Linked DNA regions of Elephas maximus indicus. The protein of the gene in region 3 interacts with the protein of the main gene of each other region in a pairwise test. Links are inferred from orthologs where the notes say so. Each region holds a gene or a part of one and is shown on either strand. Other genes may lie near its edges.

What was found.
Region 1: the proteins of COQ8A (region 3) and LDAF1 interact in binary tests that used the Homo sapiens proteins (3 or more experiments, as listed by UniProt). The two-hybrid records come from large-scale screens. The link is inferred for Elephas maximus indicus from reciprocal best matches to the Homo sapiens genes COQ8A and LDAF1.
Region 2: the proteins of COQ8A (region 3) and TMEM239 interact in binary tests that used the Homo sapiens proteins (3 or more experiments, as listed by UniProt). The two-hybrid records come from large-scale screens. The link is inferred for Elephas maximus indicus from reciprocal best matches to the Homo sapiens genes COQ8A and TMEM239.

The regions. Positions count from the first base shown.
Region 1 is NC_064830.1:81,014,164-81,021,201, forward strand, and holds the start of LDAF1 (lipid droplet assembly factor 1), read left to right. Parts: upstream 1-3,990; 5' UTR 3,991-4,114; intron 4,115-4,537; 5' UTR 4,538-4,739; exon of another isoform or gene 4,740-4,759; intron 4,760-4,765; exon of another isoform or gene 4,766-4,932; intron 4,933-6,645; 5' UTR 6,646-6,733; coding exon 6,734-6,829; intron 6,830-7,038. UniProt on the Homo sapiens protein: Plays an important role in the formation of lipid droplets (LD) which are storage organelles at the center of lipid and energy homeostasis. In association with BSCL2/seipin, defines the sites of LD formation in the endoplasmic reticulum.
Region 2 is NC_064843.1:41,403,287-41,410,514, forward strand, and holds the start of TMEM239 (transmembrane protein 239), read left to right. Parts: upstream 1-5,098; 5' UTR 5,099-5,109; coding exon 5,110-5,568; 3' UTR 5,569-7,228. Other genes in the region: C25H20orf141 (uncharacterized protein C20orf141 homolog), read left to right, coding at 3,746-4,011, 4,109-4,346.
Region 3 is NC_064842.1:16,659,620-16,667,249, forward strand, and holds the start of COQ8A (atypical kinase COQ8A, mitochondrial), read left to right. Parts: upstream 1-4,598; 5' UTR 4,599-4,725; intron 4,726-7,630. UniProt on the Homo sapiens protein: Atypical kinase involved in the biosynthesis of coenzyme Q, also named ubiquinone, an essential lipid-soluble electron transporter for aerobic cellular respiration.

The DNA.
Region 1 (7,038 bases), on a different chromosome or scaffold from region 3:
GTGACCCTATAAGACAAAGCAGAACTGTTCCATAGAGTTTCCAAGGCTGTAATCTTTAAGGAAGCACACTGCCACATCTTTCTCCTGCAGAGCAGCTGGTGGGTTCAAATCACTGACCTTTTGGTTAGCAGTCAAGCATTTAACCACTGTGCCACCAGGGCTCCTAAATAAATACCTACTACTATCCTAATTTTAGGTTTGGAAAAACTGAGGTGGTGGGAGGTTAAAAAAACTGTCCAAAGTCACTCAGTTAGGTAAGAAGCAAAGTTGGAACTTGAACTTGATTATAGAATCGGCTCCATGGCTTTAACTGAAAACCTATCTACATGTCATCTGAAGATGGAAAATAAATAAAATACCTGCCAAAAAGACTGAAAACGCCACCCCTCCCCCGCCAGGCCACCTGCACCAGAACGGTTTGTCATCTGACTTTACTCTCTGTTACATAATTCCCAAGAGGGGATGCAGACAGGCCTCAAGTCCCTCAATCCCTCCGCCCCCATCCATAGGGATGCTAGATAAAATACAGGATGCCCAGTTAAATGTGAATTTCAGGTAAACAACAAAGAATTTTTTTAGTATAAGTATGTCACATTCAACATTTGGGATACACTTATATTTTTTTATACTAAGTGATTCATCATTTACCCGAAATTCAAATTTAAATGTATGTCCTGTATTTTTACCTACTAAATCTGGCAACATGGAGAGGAGCATTCAGCTAGGTTCCAGGTTGTCCCAGTCTCTGTGGCTCCCAGTCTCTGTGGCATTAACATTTTAGGCTCTCAGTCTGTTGCTGGGAAATTTTCACACATTTCTTATTCAGAGCCCAGTACTCCTGGCAGATTTTTCTGAAGCCTGAAATAGTTGATTAGTTAAAGCAAGTGTTATGGGTTGAATTGTGCCCCCTAAAAGTATGTGTTGCAAATCCTAATCCTGATTTCTGTGGTTATAATCCAATTTAAGAATGGGTTTTCTTTGTTATGTTAATGAGGCAGTATTAGTGTACAAAACAAAAAAACAAACCCACTGCCGTCGAGTCGATTCCGACTCATAGTGACCCTATAGGACAGAGTAGGACTGCACCATAGAGTTTTCAAGGAGAGCCTGGCGGATTTGAACTGCCAACCTCTTGGTTAGCAGCTGTAGCACTTAACCACTATGCTACCAGGGTTTCCAGTATTAGTGTAGGATATGTCTTAATTAAGTCTTCTTCCGAGATATAAAAAGAGCAGATTGAGCAAGCGGAGATGGGGGAAGATAGACGCCAAGCCACATGGAAATCTCCGAGGGACAGAAGCTCAAAAGAGACAAAGATTCTCCTCTAGAGCTGACAGAAATGCTTCCCCCCGAGGTGGTGTCCTGAATTTGGACTTCTAGCCTCCTAAACTGTGAGAAAATAGAATTTGTTTGTTAAAGTCATCCACTTGTTATAGCAGCACTAGAGAACTAAGACAGCAAGTAACTGTGGAAAGGTATTGGAAAAGCTGCACATGGATTTATTTCATTGACCTGTGAAATGTTCACTGAGAGTCCAGTCCTGGTGCTACGGAGAGATGCCAAGATCCAGGCCATCAGGGGATACAGGGCGTGGTGGAGCAGCAGATATGTATACAATGCAAGAAGCAAAACGAGGCAGGAGAGAGGCCCTATAAAAATACCATAGAGGTGGGAAGAATTTTTTTTCACAGAAGAGCCCCTAGATGGCATCCTTGAACAAAAATCCCAGTGGAAGCCCCAACTCAGCTTTTCAAAGCAATGTGCACCAAGGAACCATAGTGGCAGTGTTTTGTTCTAAGGAAAAAAATAAACCCTTTCCTGGGAGGGGCACCAATCATACTGCAGCTGAACAAAGTGCATGAAGCCAGACAGGATTGTCTGAAACTTACGAGTTTAGGGATACTTGTCTGTCCCTATCCTCGTATCTTCCCTTTTATCTCTGCTGTTGTGGAGGTGCTGCAGCCGGATCCCTTAGCTAATTACCATCATCATCATCATCCCCAAGCTTATTTCCCTATCCACTGCCCTTATAGAAATTTCAGGTGGCAAAAGTAATAATACCACCAAATACATTTTGTGCCCTACTGTATGCCAGATAGGTGCTAAACTCTAATTTACAGCCATTATTATGCCAGTCCTCACTACAGCTCGGTGACGCTTTCTCTCTTTGTAGAAAGAATTCTTTTCTAGGTTGCTATTGTTCTAGGGTAAAAATATCACAAAGTTTAGTAAAACAAAAAGAAAGGTTTTATTCATCATATATTCAAAGAGGCAAAAGTGGGAAACAGACAAGCATGCTGCTAGAACCATGTCTGCCTGAGTCCAAGGAATATTACAGAACAGACAAGAGTGGGAAAACAAACAAGCATGCTGCCACAGTCATGTCTGTCCCAGTCCAAGGAACGTTACAGATTCATCAGTATATATGAACATTACAAATGCGCAAAACCATTGAAAACTTCGCCTTTTCACCGATTGGCTAAAACCTGTTCGGTCACTGTGATCCTGTATTTTGAATTGTCTTTCTTAACTATCACTGGTACAGGTTTCAGTAACGATGGTCAGGGGGGTCTTTATCAGTCCAACAAATTTTACTAGTCACTAAACGCTAATAAAAAAGACGTAAGAGTGGAAAGTATGTGGGTCTTTTGTGCTGTTTTTATGAGTGCTTTATGTGAAAGGATCCCTAAAAGATGTTTTCCACGGTTGTCCTTTATACCTCAGGGCCCAGCTGATGTGTCCCTGTGAGACTTTGTGAGTCCAGCTCCAGCTGGGTCACATTCTAGGACGGGGAATAATGGCTCTGATATTATCTCCTAAATCACTATCAACAGGGGCCACAGAGAAAAGGTAGGTCCGAAAGGGCCCTGGATGGGAAGTGCCAGAGGACTAGACAGTAGGAGACCAAGGCTCAGGTCTGTCAGTCTGTCACTCTCCCTGTTACGCAGATGAGGAAGTCACAGTAAGAGTCGGGGCCCAGAGCCCAGGACTTTTGGACTCCTGCCAATGTCCCCTGTGGCCAGTATGCCCTATGGTAGTGTTGTCAACTCTGGGAAACGGTGTTCCCAGGGGACATTTGGCTATATCTGGGGACACTTTTGGCTGTCATGACTTGGGGGGTTGTATTGGCATCTAGTGTATAAACAAAAAAAACCCACTGCCATCAAGTCCATTACAACCCCATTGGACAGAGGAGAGCTGCCCCATAGGGTTTCCAAGGCTGTAATGTTTATGGAAGTAGATTGCCACATCTTTTTCCCTCAGAGCGGACAGTGGGTTCCACTGGCCGACCTTTTGGTTAGCGATTGAGTGCTTAACCACTGCACCACCAGAGCTCCTCATCTAGTGGGTAAAGTCGGGAATTCTGCTAAACATCCTACAACGTACTTGGCAACTTCCAACACACAACACAGAATTACCCTGCCGGAAACATCAACAGTGCCGAGGTTAAGAAACGCTGCTCTTTGGGCAGGATTTGGAGTCAAGAACGTAGGCTCCCTCTGGCTCTGACTCGTATCCTTGCTAATTGAGGGATTTGGGTTTAGTTACTGTCTCCCAGGCCCTTGACTTTTTCATATGTACAATCTCTAAGGATCTCACTGGCTCACTCCATTTGCATTCGAGGAGTTAAAACCTTTGTCAGGGTCATACCTCACCACGTGAGTTCTGAGCTCCAGAGATGCTTCCAGAAGAGTTGATTCTGGGCATTTAGGTAGGGAAAGCCCTAAGACTGTGTGAAAACCCATTCTTAGCTGTCAGTCCACCTGTCTCAGAGGCGGCCCGAGCATTCTCGCTCCAAGCCTGGGGACTCTCTCTGAGCCTCAGTTTCCTCATCTGCAAACCTCTCCCTTTGGTCCCGGTGGCTCCATGGCCCTTTGCCAAAGCTGGGCGCGGCCGCTTGGCGCCTCTGGCCCAATGCTTCCCGCCCCGCGGGCAAGGCGGAAGGGAGCGCAGCCTTGGGGCGGAGCCGGCGGCCGAGGGGCGGGAAAGGCGGCGACGCGAAGAGGACGCACTTTCCGCGCCCGCCCGTGCATTCGTGCGTCGACTCTCCCTCCCTTCGCTCCGCCTGCCGAAGGGGTGCGCGTGGGCTGGGGACGGCGGAGCCTCGGACAAGGTGAGAGCGCGAAGCTTGGGGGCGGGGAGTACAGGGTGCCCCGGCTGGCTGTACCACTGGCGGGCGGAGGAGATGGAGGAGCCCGAGAGCCGGGGCTGGAGAGGGCGGCCGAGTCCCCCACGCCCTTAGCTCTGTATCCGCTGTCTAGTAAAAAAAAATTAAGGGGTTTCTTCTCACCTGAGTCACTGGGACCGGAGACTGGGCCCAGTCGCCCACCCCCTCCCTGGCCACACCCACAGCCCCTACAGCTAGGTTTGGTAGAAGAGTTGCCAGCCCTACCCGACCCTCGAGACCCTGGGAAACCTAGGTGGGGAAACGTCCGGTCTCCAAATCCCCCTCCCCAGAATTAGTCAAAATGGCTGTCCTTCCTCCCATCCTGTCCTTGTTCTCTAACGAGAACCTCCCCTTCCCCTGTCACTGCAGAGCAGAGGAGCTCCAAGCACCAAAGATGGATTCTTCTTCCCAAATTACTCCGACTCCCCCCTGAGCCCCTCTTTCTCAATCTCCACTGCCCTCCACCTGCATCGCACTCCCTTCCTCTTGGATGACAAGAAATGGGACCTCCCCTCCCCGCCCTGGGAAGCTGAGAGACTGAAACCAGATGGGGACCCATGGAACGTTGCAGGTAGCCGTTTGCCCCGAGAGGTAGGAGAGGCAGGATGCTTTATTTGGAGGCTTAGAAGGAGTGGCCAAGGCGGCCAGTGTTGAAGTGGTTCAGCCCGGGAGGTGCAGAGGAGGCGGGGCAGCTCTCGGCTACTCAGGGGTTAACGTTTTCCTGCCTCCGGATACTTCTCTGCCTGGGGAGGTTCCTCTGAGGGGTGAGTAATTGAGGGGCTGGAATTGGCGGCTGGGCGGGGGATTTGACGGCAGTGGCTGGTGGCTTTCCTCCGAGGCTTACCCCTATCGGACTCCCCAAACCGGTCTGGGTGGCTCTTGGGTTTCCCAGGCCCCAAGAGACTTGTACGGGAAGCTGGGCTTGTTTCTACCCGCTGTAGAGATGACATGAGGGGAGCCCAGCGCTGGAACATCCCCAGTCCAAGATCTGTGCCAGCTGCAGCTCCAAAGACAAAATACGAGGGTGGGAGGTTAGTCCTCCGTTCTGGAGGGTTTCCTGTTTTACAAAAGGGATTGTAGCAGGGGTCCCTTAGCCGAGGTGATTAAAATGTGCTTACTTTTGCATATGAGATCCTTGTAGAAATTTTTTTCCTGAAACTCACATAGTCAGCATATGGAATATTCAGCATATAAGTAAATGTGGGCATGTGTCACAGTGCATTTTGGCTGCTGTGACCTAATCGGTTAGGCGTGTGCAGAGTCACTGATGGCAAGTGGTTTTATTATAGACCAGGAGGTCAGTTGTAAGGAACAAACAGTAAAGGCTGTAAGACTGGGGCCAGCCTTATTGTTGTTGCTCTGGAAAAAAATAAAATCAATAAGGATGATATATTTGTTTAGATGAACATCCAACAAGAGTTTAAAAAAAAATAGCTTAACAAATTGCTTTTTATTAAAAAATAAGTAAAATGATGTGAGGTTGGAACAGTTCTGGAAATTCCAGGCTGTTGCCCATAGAGTATCACCGTGGTGAGGGCTGCTTGGGGAAGAGGCTTACGCATATGAGTAAATAGAGAATGGTTTATGGCACTGTGCAATTGGGAAGCAACCTGCACAGTACCAAAAACAAACCCCTTGCCATCGAGTTGATTCCAACACATAGCGACCCTATAGGACAGAGTAGAACTGCCCCATACAGTTTCCAAGGAGTGCCTGGTAGATTTGAACTGCCGACCTTTTTGTTAGAAGCCGTAGCTCTTAACCATTGTGTCAACCAGGGTTAAAGGAGGGAAATCAGCCAAGGTCACAGTTGTTTGGGAAAGTCTTTGTACAGGGGGAAAAACAAGCAATGGGACTTGAGATAGTATATTCAGCTTCCTCGCTTTTTTCTATGTGCTTTTCAGCATTTTGTCAGAATAAACATAAGCACTCAGAGAAAATACTGTTAACATCTTGTTGTATGCACTTCTAGATTGTTTCTATCCCGAGTTCATAGGAATAGCAATATATACCTAAAAATATATTTGTATGTGTAACAAAATGTACGATTTTGCAATCTGATTTCTTTCCATTATCATGGCCATCTTCTCATACCCTATATAAATATCTACATTATCCTTTTACCGACTGTACAATATTCCATTGTATGACTTTATTCTGATTTAGTTAACCAATTTCCTACTAATGGACAGTGAGTTAGCTTCTTTCCAGTGTTTTCATATTTATTATGTAGGTTCCAATGCACAGCTGTTTGGTATATTTTCATATACCTGTTTGATTATTTCCTTCAGCTTCCTGGAAAATGAATTGCTGAATCAGAGGGTATGTAATTCGAAATTGTGACAGATACTGCCAAGTTACCCTCCACCTACACATCCACCAACAGGAATGTGTGAGGATAGTAGAAACTCTTACTGAACTAATTACATGCGGACCATTAACGATTTAAGAATCTTCTTTTGTTTCCTCCGTGACAGCAAGAGAGAGAGCGACATGTGACATTTGACTACCCTGCACTCACTGGTAGAAGAGTCAGTCCCCAAGGAGACTAAAGTGAGTTTCACCATGGCGAAAGAGGAGCTCCCAAGTATCTCAAAGGACTTGCAGGAGCTGCAGAAGAAGCTGTCTTTGCTGATAGAATCCTTCCAGACTAACGTAAAGGTCAGTTTCCAATCACCATGTGTAATGGAAAATCCCAAAATAACATTAGCATAAACAAGATAGAAAGTTATTTCTCAAGTAGAAGAAATTTAGAGGGAGGTCGGGAATCTTTCTAGCTCACTACCCTGTCATGTCTAAACTCTGACCCTCAACCTCATTGTCCAAGATGGCTGCTAGAGCATCAGCCATTACATCCATGTTCCAGGTAG
Region 2 (7,228 bases), on a different chromosome or scaffold from region 3:
GAAGGATCAGTAGTTGGAAAATATGGCCTTGGTGATAGAAATGATGCCAGAGATCACGTGATAGAACTTTGCAAGACCAAACGACTTCTTCTTTACAAACCTTTTCACAACAACATAAATGGCAACAGTAGACGTGGACCTCACCAGATGGGATTTACAGGAATCAAATTGACTACATCTGTGGAAAGAGACTATGGAAAAAATCAATATCATCAGTCAGAACAAGGCCGGGGCCAACTGCAGAACAGACCATCAATTGCTTATATGCAATTCAAGTTGAAGCTGAAGAAAATTAGAACAAGTCCACTAGAGCCAAAGTATGACCCTGAGTATATCCCACCTCAATTTAGAGACCATCTCTAGAATAGATTTGAAGGGTTGAACACTAATGACCAAAGGCTGGACAAGTTGTAGAATGACATCAAGGACATCATACATGAAGAAAACAAGAGGTCAATAAAAACACAGGAAAGAAAGAAAAGACCAAAACGGATGTCGGAAGAGACTCTGAAATTTGCTCTTGAATGTAGAGTAGTTAAAGGGAATGGAAGAAATGATGAAGTAAAAGAGCTGAACAGATTTCAAAGGGCAGCTCGAGAAGACAAAGTAAAGTATTATGATGACATGTGCAAAGACCTAGAGTTAGAAAATCAAAAGAGGAGAACACACTCGGTATTTCTCAAGCTGGAAGAACTGAAGAAAAAATTCAAACCTCAAGTTGCAGTAGTAATGGATTTTATGGACAAAATATTGAATGATGCAGGAAGTTTCAAAAGAAGATGGAGGGAAAACAGTCACTGTACCAAAAAGAATTGGTCGACGTTCAATCATTTCAGGAGGTAGCATATGATCAAGTACCAAAGGAAGAAGTCCAAGCTGCACTGAAGGCGCTGGTGAAAAACAAGGCTCCAGGAATTGACAGAATACCAGTGGAGATGTTTCAACCAACAGATGCAGCGCTGGAAGTGCTCACTTGTCTATGCCAAGAAATTTGAAAGAGAGCTTACCTGGCCAACTGACTGAAAGAGATCTATATTTATGCCTATTCCAAAGAAAGGTGATTCAACCGAATGTGGAAATTATCGAACAATATCATTTATATCACACACAAGTAAATTTTTGCTGAGGATCATTCAAAAGTGGTTACAGCAGTATATCTACAGGGAACTGCCAGAAATTCAAGCTGGATTCAGAAGAGGACAAAAAACCAGGAACACTACTGCCGATATCAGATGGATCCTGGCTGAAAGCAGAGAATACCAGAAAGATGTTTACCTGTGTTTTTTTTGATTATGCAAAGGTATTCGACTGTGTGGATCATAACAAGTCATGGATAACATTGCCAAGAATGGGAGTTTCAGAACACTTAATTGTGCTCATGAGGAACTAGATCAAGAGGTAGTCATTGGAACAGAACGGAGAGAGACCACATGGTTTAAAGTCAGGAAAGGTGCGTATCAGGGTTGTGTCCTTTCACCTCGCATATTCAATCTGTATGCTGAGCAAATAATCCAAGAAGCTGGCCTATATGAAGAAGAACGGGGCATAAGGACTGGAGTAAGACTCATTAACAACTTCCATTATACAGATGACACAACCTTGCTTACTGAAAGTTAAGAGGACTTGAAGCACTTACTGATGAAGATCAAAGACCACAGCATTCAATATGGATTACATCTCAACATAAAACCAAAAAATCCAAACCCACTGCCATTGAGTCGATTCCTGACTCATATCAACCCTATTGGACAGAGAAGAACTGCCCCATAGAGTTTCCAAGGAGTGCCTGGCAGATTCGAACTGCCGATCTCTTGGTTAGAAGCTGTAGTACTTAACCACTACACCACCAGGGTTTCCCCTCAACATAAAGGAAACAAAGATCCTCACACCTGGACCAATAAGCAGCAGCACGATAAACGGAGAATAAACTGAAGTTGTCAAGGATTTCATTTTACTTGGATCCACAATCAACATCCATGGAAGCAGCAGTCAAGAAATCAAAAGACACATTGCACTGGGCAAATCTGCAGCAAAAGACCTCTTCCAAGTGTTAAAAAGCAAAGATGTCACTTTGAGGACTAAGGTGTGCCTGACCCAAGCCATGGTGTTTTCAATTGTCTTGCATGCATGTGAAAGCTCGACAGTGAATAAGGAAGACCAAAGAAGAATTGACACCTTTGAGTTATGGTGTTGGCAAAGAATGCTGAATATACCATGGACTGCCAAAAGAACGAACAAATCTGTATTGGAAGAAGTACAGCCAGAATGCTCCTTAGAAGGGAGGGTGGTGAGACTTCATCTCACATACTTTGGACGTGAAGGACCAGTTCCTAGAGAAGGACACCGTGCTTGGTGAAGTAGAGGGTCAGTGAAAAAGAGGAAGTCTCTCAACAAGATGGATTGACACAGTGGCTGCAACGATGGGCCCAAGCATAATAACGATCATGAGGTTGGCACAGGACCGGGCAATGTTTCGTTCTGTTGTACATAGGGCCGCTATGAGTCGGAACTGACTTGATGGCACCTAACAACAATTATGACCCATTTCCACTCTTGCCTCTCAAGTCACTGAACTGAGACATGCTGGAACTTCTGCAGCCACCACTCATTTACAGACTATCAGTGGGGACAGATTTCTTTTCTAGGTGACCGATCCCGTCATTAAACAAACAAACAAAAAACCCATTGCCATTGAGCCAATTCCAACTCATAATGACCCTATAGGACAGAGTAGAACTGCCCCATAGTGTTTTCAAGGCTGCAATCTTTATGGAGGCAGACTGCCACATCTTTTCCCCGGGAGTGCCTGGTGGTTTCCAACTGCTGATCTTTCAGTTAGCAGCAGAGTGCTTAACTGCTGCACCACCAGGGCCCCTTGATCCCTTCATTGCATGTTGATTTTCCTTAATATTCTCAGAAGGTAACCTTAGCCTCCAGTTTAGGGGGTTACTATGTTGTACCCCTCCTACACTCACATCCTCTATTCCATTTCTGGGACCCTTTCTCCAGAACACCTCCCGCACACTGTAGTGCTTAGAACACATGAACTGCCCCCTCCTGCCCCTACCCCATTTAGCAGGTCATGTGGGAGCTCAGCCCCAGAAAGCCTTAGGCTGCTTCCTGGCAGAGTTTCTTTGTCTTCCAGAGCTGTAGCCCTGGCAAATCCCCCCAAGAGCCCACAGGCATCACCCACTCTCAGGGGAGAGACATGGGGACAGAGAATTTGCATGACTTGCCCCTGGACACACAGTTCTGGGAACTCACAGGAAGACAGTAGCCCTCCCTTTTCTCCCCTGGCCTAGTGCCCATGCAGTAATGGGGTAAGAATGTCTTCCCGAGAACTCAGATCCCCAAGAGAGGTCCCTGGGGCAAAGGGTTAGCAAGGCAAGGAGGGTGAGTTTTAGTTCTCAGAAATCACTGATTTCTGGCCAAGAGCCACCTAGGCTTTCCCAGCTGCTTATGAGGCCAGAACTAGGCAGCAGCCTCCTCCCTCTCCCAGGGCTCCGCCTGGCAGCAGGTCACAATGGCCCAGCTTCCCAGTCTCCGAATTGCTGGCCAGGTGGGAGGAGGTAAGGAGGGTTCAGTGGGTGGGTGTGGGGGGAGGGGGAGGTTCATGCCCAATTAAAGCCCAATTTCCCACTCTCGGAGCTCATCTTTGAGAGTCTGCTAGGGCCCCACCCCTGCCCACACCCCCACCCCTGACATTCCCTCCCAGCACTAACCCTTCCTGTCACCACATCCCTCCATGACCGGGCTCTGCTTATCCGGGCCCCAAGCCCTGGCAGGTCCGATTCCAGTCTCTCCCAGGCACCTGGATGCTGGAAAGGGGTCAGGCAGTCCAGTGGGTCCAAGTGTGTTCCTCTGGGGCCCTAGCCTGGCCCACCTCCTGGACAGTGCCCTAGGGCTGGTGGCCCTGGGGCTGGCAATTCGAGCAGTCCTTTTCACAGCTGTACCAGCGCTGCTGCTGCTGCTGCTACTGGTCAATTTCCTTGCCTTTGATCTGCTCCACGGGTAAGTGGCCAGGCGGCCTGGCAGGTGGGGAGACATGTAGGCAGGTGGACAAGTGGTCAACCTTTCTGAGCCCTGCTGCCTCCCTCTTTCTTCACAGGCCCACAGCTCCCACCCTGCTGCAGCACAGGCCTCTGGCAGGGGGCCCGAGTCAGGGAGCCGGTGAAGGTCCAGGACAGCAGGGGGCTCTGCTTCTGACACCGGTCGCAGTCATAAGACAAGTCAGTCTCCAAGATGCGCTTCTACTGCTGCTTTTGGGCCTGGGTCTGCTCCTGGGGGCCCAGGGCATGCCCCTGGCCCTGCTTGGCCTGGCTTTCTGCCTCCACCCTTGGGTCTGAACGCTTTCCCAAAACACTGCGTGCCCTCCCAAAATACACTGGCTATCCTGCTTCCTCGGGCCTCCTTTCCTTCATCTTGGGCTGGGCAGGAGGGAGGTGCCCCTTATCCCGAGCCTGAACCTCCAGGAAGCCCTGGCCCCACAATGTGGGCAGTGGACATCTAGGTCTGATCTGGGGGCCCAGCTGGGGAGAGAAGGTGAGGGATAGTATGATGAGAGACAGGGAGCCCGGGGCAGGAGGTGGCACTGATCTCAGCCTGCAGGTTGGAGGTGGGCATATCGCCCCCTCTGTGGTTCAAGAGAATGACAGTCTAGAGAGAAAGACCTGCAAGAAAGTGGGTGTGGGGCTGAATATCAGGCAGCAGGGAAGGGTCGGGGACCCAGGAAGGGCTTCCTCACAAGAAAGTATTAGACACTGCAGCCAAGGGCTCATTTGGCTCCCCTGCCTGCCTGGAGGGTCCACAGTGGCTCCTCTCTTGGCTGGACCCCACCCCGGACCCGGGTCACAATAGGGCTCCTCTGGGGAGGGTGGGGGTGGGCAAGACTGGGGCCTCGGATCTAGCTACTGGGCTGTCCTGGGCACTGCAGGAAGCAACATGACTTAGGTGGCTCTGCCCAGAGGTAAGTCCCGGGCCCCAGCTCACTGCCCTATCCCAACCACATTGGTGCCTTCCTGAGCCCCATGCCCCTACCTACCTGAGGTAGCAAGCCTCTGCAGGGCTGCTCCTGCAACTGGCCCGGCCCTCTCCCCAGGTGCACCAGCCATGATGCAGCAGCCGCGAGTGGACACAGATGCCATCGGGGCCGGTGAGGGGCTGCAGCCTGTGGCGCCCTGGTCGGCCTGGGTCTCGCGGCAGGGTTGGGCGCGCTGGTGGGCATGCCATGTGCCTCGGAGCTGGGCCCAGTGGTGGGCCACATCCAGCTGGCGGCAACCACTGCAACGTGTGCTATGGGGCCTTGAGGGGATGCTTTACCTGCTGCTGGCGCTGATGCTGTGCCACGCTCTCTTCACCACTGGCTCCCACCTGCTAAGCTCCCTGTGGCCTGTTGTGGCTGCAGCGTGGCGCCACCTGCTGCCTGCCATCCTGCTGCTGGTGCTCAGTGCCCTCCCCGCCATGCTCTTCACCGCCTCCTTCCTGCTGCTTTTCTCCACACTGCTGAGCCTTGTGGGTCTCCTTGCTTCCATGTCTCACACTGGCCACACTCAGGACTTGGACCAATAGAAGGCAACCCCATCCCGCTGCCTGTGTCTGTTGAGCCCAGGCCTAGGGCCTGAGGCCTGGGGAGAGGGAGGGCAGTGGGACCAGGACCTTATAGCCTCAGCAGGCCCCAGCACCCCAGATGCTAGCATGGGGCCGAAACTTGTGTAGTGTTTCTGGAGCTGACAGGACAGACTGGCCTGATCTCTAGTGCCTGCCTCAAGTTGATGCCTCAGGTACCTGGTGTGGGGAGACAGTGACTTTGAGAGGAGGGGATAGGGCAGAAGGCTTAAGCGGGGGCAGAGCTTGGCCAAGCCATTGAGGGTTCCCATGTGGATGTGGTGACACTACTGGGTGCCCCTTGGCAACTGGCAGCATTTTCTTGCAACTGCTCAGCTTTCTCAGCCTCAGACCTCACCTAGAACTTCCACCTGGCTACCCCTGGACTCTCCATTTTCTCCCACCAATGCTTCTTCCCACTTTCAGAGGTGCCACAGATCAGGAGAGAGCCTCACTGATAGAAGTCTAGTGGGAGAGGAACTGGCAGAAACCCCCCTGAGACCTCAACTCACCTTCTAGACCTTTCCACCCAGGCATCCCCTGTTTCCTAGACTTCCTTTTCTCCTGTTTCAGTCTACATCCCCAGGTCTGGGAAATGAGCCAACTAGGGTAGTGAGGTTCCCAGAGAGTAGCTACTCACTTGTTAAGACTCTCCAGGCCTGTTGTGGAAAAACAAATAAGTCCCATTTTACGCATCTACACAATGTGTAACCTTGGCCAATTAATTTCCTTGAGTCTCAGTGTTAAATGGGTCCCAACCCTATCATGGGGTTGTTGTGAGTCAAAGGCAATGCCTATCTGTGAAGTGCTTTGTGAAGACCAGAAAACTGTAAGATATTGTTTTGAACACTAAGAACATTCTGTAGCCTCAAAGAGTCTTTTGGGCCTGAAGGCCCTTGAAAAGCAGGTAGCTTCCCTGGGCTTTCAGAGGAATGCTCTGTTATAGATAGAATTTTGGCTCTAAGATGGTAAATGGATGGGTGTGGACAAGATACGAAAAGGCCACGTGCCATGAAATCTCAAAAGTGTGCAGATGCAAGACTCTTCTGACGGTGAAATGCTTGGGGCTGGGACTTGGTGCCAAGAGATGCTTATACAGCTGTGTGAATAGGGAAAGCTAGCTCATGGGTTCCCAAAACTGATCCAGGAAAGTTCTAAACCAAGAGGGCCTTGGAAGGTGCCATTCCTTGGTGCCCTGGATCCTGGCCATTCACTTATCATCTAACCCCTCCAAACAAAACATTGAGTGATTAGTTATTACCAAGTAAGATATATGACAGACAACCTTACCCACAGCTGAGACCCACCCACCTGACCCCCATCCCACTCCTAACTCCCACCCAATCTTTGACCCTGAAATGATTCCCAACCTCTGTCCACCCCCAATCCATTCTCCTTCTCAGCCCCAGCCCAGTCCTGACCCCCACCTTATATCTAACCTTAAAATCCCTGCTCCTGCAGCCCTAAGCCCAAAGTCCCCCTCTCCTGCTCCCTAAATACTTAAGCCCTGAGGAATAATCCCTCCAACCCTATCGAATACCTGGTTTCATCTTTGCCAAAACCCATTTGCTGTAGAAATGTGTAACTCTGCATGCTCCTGATTAGATGCTAACCAGTGGCACAG
Region 3 (7,630 bases):
GCACATAGAGGGCACAGTTACGGAAACTTCTTAGTCATATCCAAACACCTCGTGGGACTGAGATACTGGGCTTGAAGGCTAAGGACCATAGTCTTGGACATATCTAGGCCAATTGGCATAACATAGTTCTCAATGGTCTATATCCTAGTTTGGTGAGTAGTGTCTGGGGTCTTTTAACCTTGTGGACGGCCATCTAAGATACAACTCTTGGTCTCTTTCCATTTGGAGCAAAGGAGAGTGAAGAAACCAAAGACTCAAGGAAGCAGTTAGTTCACAGGACTAATGGCTCACATGAATGACAACCTCCTCTAGCCCGAGGACAGAAAAACTAGGTGCTACCACTACCAACCGCTCTGACCAGGGACACGATAGAAGGTCCCAGTTAAAGTGGGACAAAAATATAGAACAAAACTGAAATTCATAAAAAAGACCAGCCTCATCGGAGTGATAGAAACTGGAGGAACCACCAAGACTATTGCCCTAATACATCCTTTTAACCTGGAACTGAAGCCACTCCTGTAGGTCATCTTTCAACCAAATAATAATTGGCCAATAAAATAAACAATGACACCTGTGAAGAATGTGCTCCTTAGTACAATCAACTGTGGGAGAACAAATGGGCAACATTTGTGCAAAAGCAAAGATGAGAAGGCAAGGAGAGGCAGGGAAACTGGAGGGACAGAAACGAGCAAGGCAGGGTGGAAACGGGGAGAGTGCTGACACACTCCGGGGACAGCAACCAACATCATGGAACAACCTGCGTATGAATTGTTGAATGGGAAACTAATTTTGCTGTGTAAACTTTGACCTAAAACACAATAAAATGTTAAATAATAAGGAGTTTATGTTAAAAAAAAATTTAAATTGGCACTAATTTGAGCTAGATTGTTGTGAGTTAAAATGTTAATTTTAATCCCCAGGGCAGCCACTGAGAAAGATGGAGGGAATGATAAACTGTGTCAAATCTGGCTGATAGTTTAAGATGTGATCTGAGAATTGACTACTTGATTTGGCAATACTGAGGCTTGTGGTGTCCTTGAAGAGCAGTCGACTCATAGCGACCCTATAGGACAGAGTAGAACTGCCCCAGAGTTTCCAAGGAGCGCCTGGAGGATTCGAACCGCCAACCCTTTGGTTAGCAGCCATAGCACTTAACCACTATGCCACCAGGGTTTCCTTTGGGGAATTATGGGGGCAAAATTTGACTAGATTGGTTCAGGTAGAACCAGAGAAAGGGAAGTGGAAACAATGTAGGTCGTTCTTCCAGGAGTTTTGCGAAAAGGGGAGCAGAGAAATAGGAATGCGGGTGAAGAGCAAGAGATATTATGACAGGTCTGTATACCAAAGGGAATGGTTCGGCAGAGTGAGAGAAACTGGCAAGTGCCTCTTCTGTCTCTGTTACTAAGAAAGATGTATTATTGGAGCACCATGCTTCTCACCCCACTGTCCTAGGCACAGGTGCCTTTGCTTATTCGTATATATATGAACGTAGACATGTGCATTTTTTATTTTATGCCACTATGAAATATGCACAAAAATTTAATTTTTACAAGTTTAAGATAACATTTAAAAATGTCTTGTTAATTATGATGACATCACGTGATGGCTAGCTAATACTTCAAGGCAAAACAGCCTCTTAGGGTGAGGTATACGGTGAATGAAATCCATGTCTCAAATGTCTTCTTGCTAAGTTTGAATTTTCTGGCTGTCTTCTTGTCAATTCCAGTTAGAATGATCCCTGCTCTTACCTTATAGTGAAGCCGACAAAGAGCTAATACCAAGAAGAGTAGTAATGACTGTTATTTGTTGTTTTCCTGTTGTTCACCTCAATCATTAGTGCTATCGTACTCTCTTCTATCTGGTCTTTCAAGTATCTTTTTTAACTTTTTATTATGGAGACTTGCAAACATATATAAAAAGACAAAAGAATATAATGAACCTTGATATACCCATCACTGCCCTTCCATAATTACCAGCATGGCCCATTTGCTTCCCTCTAGCCCTGTTAATATTTTGAGGGAAATCCTATACATCATTTTAGTTCATGTGGAAATAATTCAGTGAGTTATCTCTAAAAACATAAAAAAAAAAAAAACATAGGGACTCAAAAACAAAAATTCATAACTATGATGCCATTATCGCACCTAAACAATAATTTTTAGGAATCTTTAATTCACAGCAATGGGGAAGTCTGTTTCCGGTCGGAAAAGAGAGAAATGTTGTTTTTAGTATAATAAAGCTGAGGTCATTATTTCACAAGGAATAAGGTCAAAATCATATTAACCTGACAGAGGCCTTCTTGACATAGACTAACTGGGGCGCATTTCACTAGCAAACTAGACAGATGGTCCTTGAAGTAAGCTACTGTTTGTGATGGTGGGTTGTTTGTCTTCAGGTGGTACAGGACTGAAGGTGGCCCTGGCATGGTGGAGCAGGGCTGATCTGACACGGGAAAGCAGCCACCTCGCTCCCCGCATCTGTGGAACCAGAGCACCACGTCCTCTACCCTCTTCCATCAGCAGGAAGCAGGATCTGATGAAAACCACTCTCACCCAAACGAAGCTGGACAGGAGTAGAGTTTGTAAGACACAGGAAGGGATGAATAGTGGATTCCGTTACGCCAAGGGCAGGGGTCGGTGGACCAGGCTGGGGTGGCTTGGAGGAATGAAAGGCAGTACAAAGGGACAGTTAATGTAGGAGGGAGCACTTGACCCTCTTTGAAGACTAACCCCAACTGCGTGGTAGGATGGAGTTAGCTGGCCTAATCAACGCAAGCACCTGTTGTTAGTCCTGGACTGTTTGCAATTACTTGAAACTTCAGTCAAAATAACTCCTTTATTCACCCTCAAAATTTCCTTTACAGTGTAGGGAAGACGGAGAAAGAAGAATTTGGACTGTGGTGGGGGGTAAAGGGGGAACAGCCAGCCCTGAGAATATCTGTGCAGAGGCGCACCCACCAGTACACAGGTACTCTGCAGAGAAGCCACAAAGTGCAGTCTCCATTTTCCATGGAAGACAGTCCCCCGCTCTTCACCTCCCAGAAGGAAGGGAGCCTGCCACAGAGCTCACAACTGTGTTCACCCACATCATGCACACACTTAGAAGTCTGTTCTTCAGGGAACAAAAAACTACTTGCTGTGGAGTTGACTCTGACTCCTGGCAGCCCCGTGTGTGTCAGAGAACTGTGCTCTGCAGAAGTTTCAAATGGCTGAACCAGTAGATCGCCAGGCCTTTCTTCTGAGGCGCCTCTGCATGGACTAGAACTTCTAACCTTTCAGTGTTAACCATTTGCAGTACCCAGGGACTCAGGTCAGACCACTGGGCAGCCAAACTCCAAGTGGTCAGTGAGGTACTCTTGAGGTTAAGTTCATGGTTAGAATTTATTACAATAAACACCACACACACCAAATTTTAGGCATCAACATAGAATGGTTAACTTTTAATTTTTTTAAGTACCAATATTAAAATAAACAAGCCATTGTTTCGTTAAAAAAAAAAATTAACACCAAGAAATAAAGTCTCAGAATAAAGGCCAATCGTTTACCTTTCGTTTTCTGAAAATTGACTAAATTTGTCTTATTTTTCTCTTTTCCACAAGAACCACTAATAACCTAGGTCAGGACTTCAGATCAGTGTTGGGGAAACACTTGAGTGGAAATCGTCAGACCTTGGCTCTAACCCCTCATTAAACAGAGGAGTGATTTGGCGCAATCTGTTTGCTCCGCGGTTAACTGGGTTCATACAAGAGAAAAATGCCCCTTCCAAAGCCACTCCTGACTGAATGGCCGACTTCTTCCACGTGTTGGCCTGTCCCCCGGTTTGTCAGACGAGACTCGTGGGCAAGAACGAACGACTCTCCGCCCTGCGCCCCGAGCCAGCAGCTGCACACCCCGCCAGCACCCCCGCCTCGGAGGGCCCCCGCCCGGCAGGCAGGGGCGGGAGGTTCCTGACGCCCAGGGCCCTGCAGCCTTCCTGTTTTGAGGATGGCGCCCACAGCAGAAGCTAACACGCACTGGCCGGAGGAAAAAGCTGAACACAAGGGGCAGGGGCGCACGCCGCCTTTCCCACTTCTCCAGGCGCTTTCTGCGCAAACTGGGCAAGGGGCCGTGGCTCCCTAAGGCGGAGCAAGGGGCAGCCTCCCCCGTCCTCCAGGAGGTACCCCTTCCGCGGCCGGCCGCAGGCCCGCCGGCTCTTCCAGGGCCTCCTCTCCCAGACCTGCTTGGAGTCTCGGCTTCTACAGCCCGGAGAGCAGGAGGGAGGGACGGACGAACGGCCCACCCCGCGGCCACTTACAGCACCTGGCCGCGGAGAAAGCCCGTTCTCCGGGCGCACGCGCACCGCGCCCCAGCACCACCGCAGGCACGCAGCCCGGGCGGTCCCAACAAGGGGAAAGGGCAGCTGGGAGGTGCCAGAGGGGAGAATGGGCGGAGACCGGCTCGCTAGAGATACCGCCCATTGGTTCCTCTCGCTCCGCCCCCGGTCCTGATTGGCCGCAGGCCTGGTGCACGGGCCGAGCACGCTTCCCGGAGCTGCGCGGCGTTCGGCCGGCGACAGCTGCGCAGCCAATGGGAGAGGCCGGCGGGGCGGGGGCTGGCCCGGCGCTGGGTCTACCCGGGCGCGGGCGAGTTGGTAAACAGATCCGGAGCGCGTGCTGGGCCTCAGCGCTGCGGTGAGCGCGCGGACGCTGCGCGAAGGTGACCGCGGATCCCAGGCTCCAGCAGCCAGGTAAGGCTGCTGCCCTTCGGCCTGTCGCGTGCCCGGGGCGCCGTCTGCCTGCGGCCAGAGCCGGGCTTAGCACACGCCTGGGCCCTTCTTGCATTCTCCCTAAGTGACATTGCGGCTTCACCTTGGCAAGTTTGAATTGCCTGGAGCTCTGGGGTGGGCGCGCTTCAGGATGCGGGGTGGGGGCTCTGTAGCTGTCGCCTACCTCCGCACCCACCTTCGCCCATCCGGACCAGCCTCGAGGAGGGGATGAGGCCCATGTGCCGAGCCATGGGTCCCCGGGACGCTCAAGGAAGCCCTGGTGACCGGCTGCTCCAAAGTCCGTGCCTCGTGGTCTCCAGTAGAGCGTTCCTGCTTCGTTTTCTCACGATAGGGTTCTCGTCACTCCCGGGCCCCCGTGCAATTTTCACCCGTGACTGAGGGGCTCTAACTGCGTCAGGGTGCAGGTTTGTGTCTGAACTTTGGTTCCCTTGGCCAGAGCCAGCTGTTGGGATTCACAGGTGGAGGTTTGGGGTCCTTTCTTTTGTTTGCTTTTTTCTTTGGTCCTTCCTGCTACTTCTCCAGACGTTAGAGGTCTTGTGAGTGCTTTGGGCTTAATCCCCTAAACTCGAGCCTGGGCCCCACTGGATGCATAGTGGCCACACAGCTCCCCTCTGCCAAACCCAGGCCGGTTTTCCCATGTGCTTGGGTTCCCCGGAGGGAACGGTGCAGGGGCAGGTCTGGGTGCTGAGACCCTCCATTTGGGTGAGAGATATAAACCTTCTGAAGGGTGAGGCTTGTGCAGCTTCCCAGCTTGGGTCGGGCCTGCAGCCCACTGGAAAACTTGTCCACGCACACTTGGGCCTTGGGTCTACGTGACAGAGGCCTGAGAACTGGGCATGCCAGGCCTACCTCCTTGCCAAAGGGTTTGAGCATGAATTAATGTCAGCCTGCCAGTTGTATGCCATGGATGGGTGGGTCATTCTCGCAAGAGGGCTGTTGGGAGACTGTCTCTGTTGGAGGAAGACTCTCCTGAAAAAAGACAAAAGGGGAGCTGGTGGCTCATAGGAGCAGCATCTTCAAGACTCAAGCAATGGCTTTGGGCGGTTTTGTTGAGCCTTGTGAATAACGTAGACAATGCAAAGTTGCTCTAAGTGTTGCCCTGGCCTCAGGTGACTCGAAGAAAAAGTGAACCTGGTGGTTTCTGCACCTCTACACCTCCCTCAGAGCTGGAATGTCATGTGAGACAGGGCTTCTTAACCATGGGAGTACTGACGTTTTGGACCGAATAATTCTCTGTTGTGGAGGGCTGGCCTGTGTGTTGGAAGATGTGTGTAGTAGCATCCCTGGCATCTACCCACTAGATGCCTGTAGCACCTCCCCTCCAGGTGTGACAATCAAAAATGTCTCCAAACATTGCCCACTGTTCCTTATAGGGGTTGACAGCTACTGATCTAAGACTCCAAAAAGCGTCTCTCTGTGTTGCCAGGGCCTTTTGGGGACCTGTAGTTGGGTAGTGTTGTGTCCCCTGCCCCAGACCACTGGTAGACATCATGTAGATTGACCCCACCTGCCAGTGGAGAGCTAGGAGGCTGGGTTCCATGGGCATTTACCTAGCAGTGATTGGCTGCATGGGGAGTGTAAAAGAAGTAGGAGACTGGTGGCATTTGCCTTTGGGGACCTTGGAAAACTTTGGGGAGTGTTCATATGAAACAACTATTGGAACAGCTTTTGAATAGTAAGCAGACAAGTTTAAGCTATCTAAATGCTGGCAGAAAGGTTTTATCCAGAGGTGGGTTTTCCATGGTAACGCTTTACTCACCCTCACTTTTTGCTCAGACAGCTCTGTGTCTTGTGATTTGGGATGGAGTCAGACCTGTGTATGCAGGAAGTGAGTGTCTGGCTGCGTTTCACATGTACGTGTGTGTATGTACATGTACCACCTGCTTCTTCCTTTAGAGAGGCTTCCTGGGAAGGTCATGGTGCACTATGACATGTTGGGGCCTTGATGGTGCAGTGCTTAAGAGCTTGGCTGTTAACCAAGAGGCTGACAGTTCGAATCCACCAGCTGCTCCTTGGAAACCCTATGGGGCGGTTCTACTCTGTTCTATAGGGTCGCTCTGAGTTGAGATTGGCTTGACGTCAATGGGTTTGGTTTGGTTTTCTTTTATAGTCGATCGAAGCAGTGGTGTCATAAAGATAGTGTGCCGTTTCTTTTTGTTTAGAGAAAGATGCTTTACTTCTAAGTCCAGATTTTGCCTGGAATTTATGCCTCAACTGTCTGAGTCCCAAACTGATGCAGATACAGAAAAATGAAAAACAGTGATTATTGTGTAAGGCCTGCGCAAGGAAAAATCCTAAGCCCCTACCATAAATTTCCTTTTCTGGTTGTCAACTCATGCTCTGGGGATGTATCAGGGTTTTCCTGTATCATTCCTTGGTCAGTTGCAGGGTCTTTGGGATGCCCTTTGTTGCTTGTAGAAAAGATTCAGGACAGGGGGGTCACTTCTCAAAGAGAAGTTTAAAAAAGTCTATTATTGGGAAGCTCCAAACTTGGCAGGATAATTTTCCATTAAGAGCCGTGGGCATTGAGTCATTATCTTTGTCAGTTGAAACTGGAGCTGTGTGCAAAATTAGACAGGAATATTTGGTTAGAGAGTTGTCTTGATTTGACAGTGGTATCTGGATATAGTTCTGGCATTCCTGTTAACAGCCAGAAACTCGGGAGAGCCAGTGGGAAGGAGAGGTGGTGGGAGCATGGGGGCTGCCTAGGTCACCCTGCTCTTTCTGGAATTGCACCAGTGGGAGGGCTGGAGTCTGATGACCCTGTGGTGGGGCCAGGACACTGAGTGAGATACCTGGAGAGGGGCTTGTCCAGGTACCTTGGGAAACCCCAGTGGGTGTCCATTGGTCTGTCCGCAAGCATGTT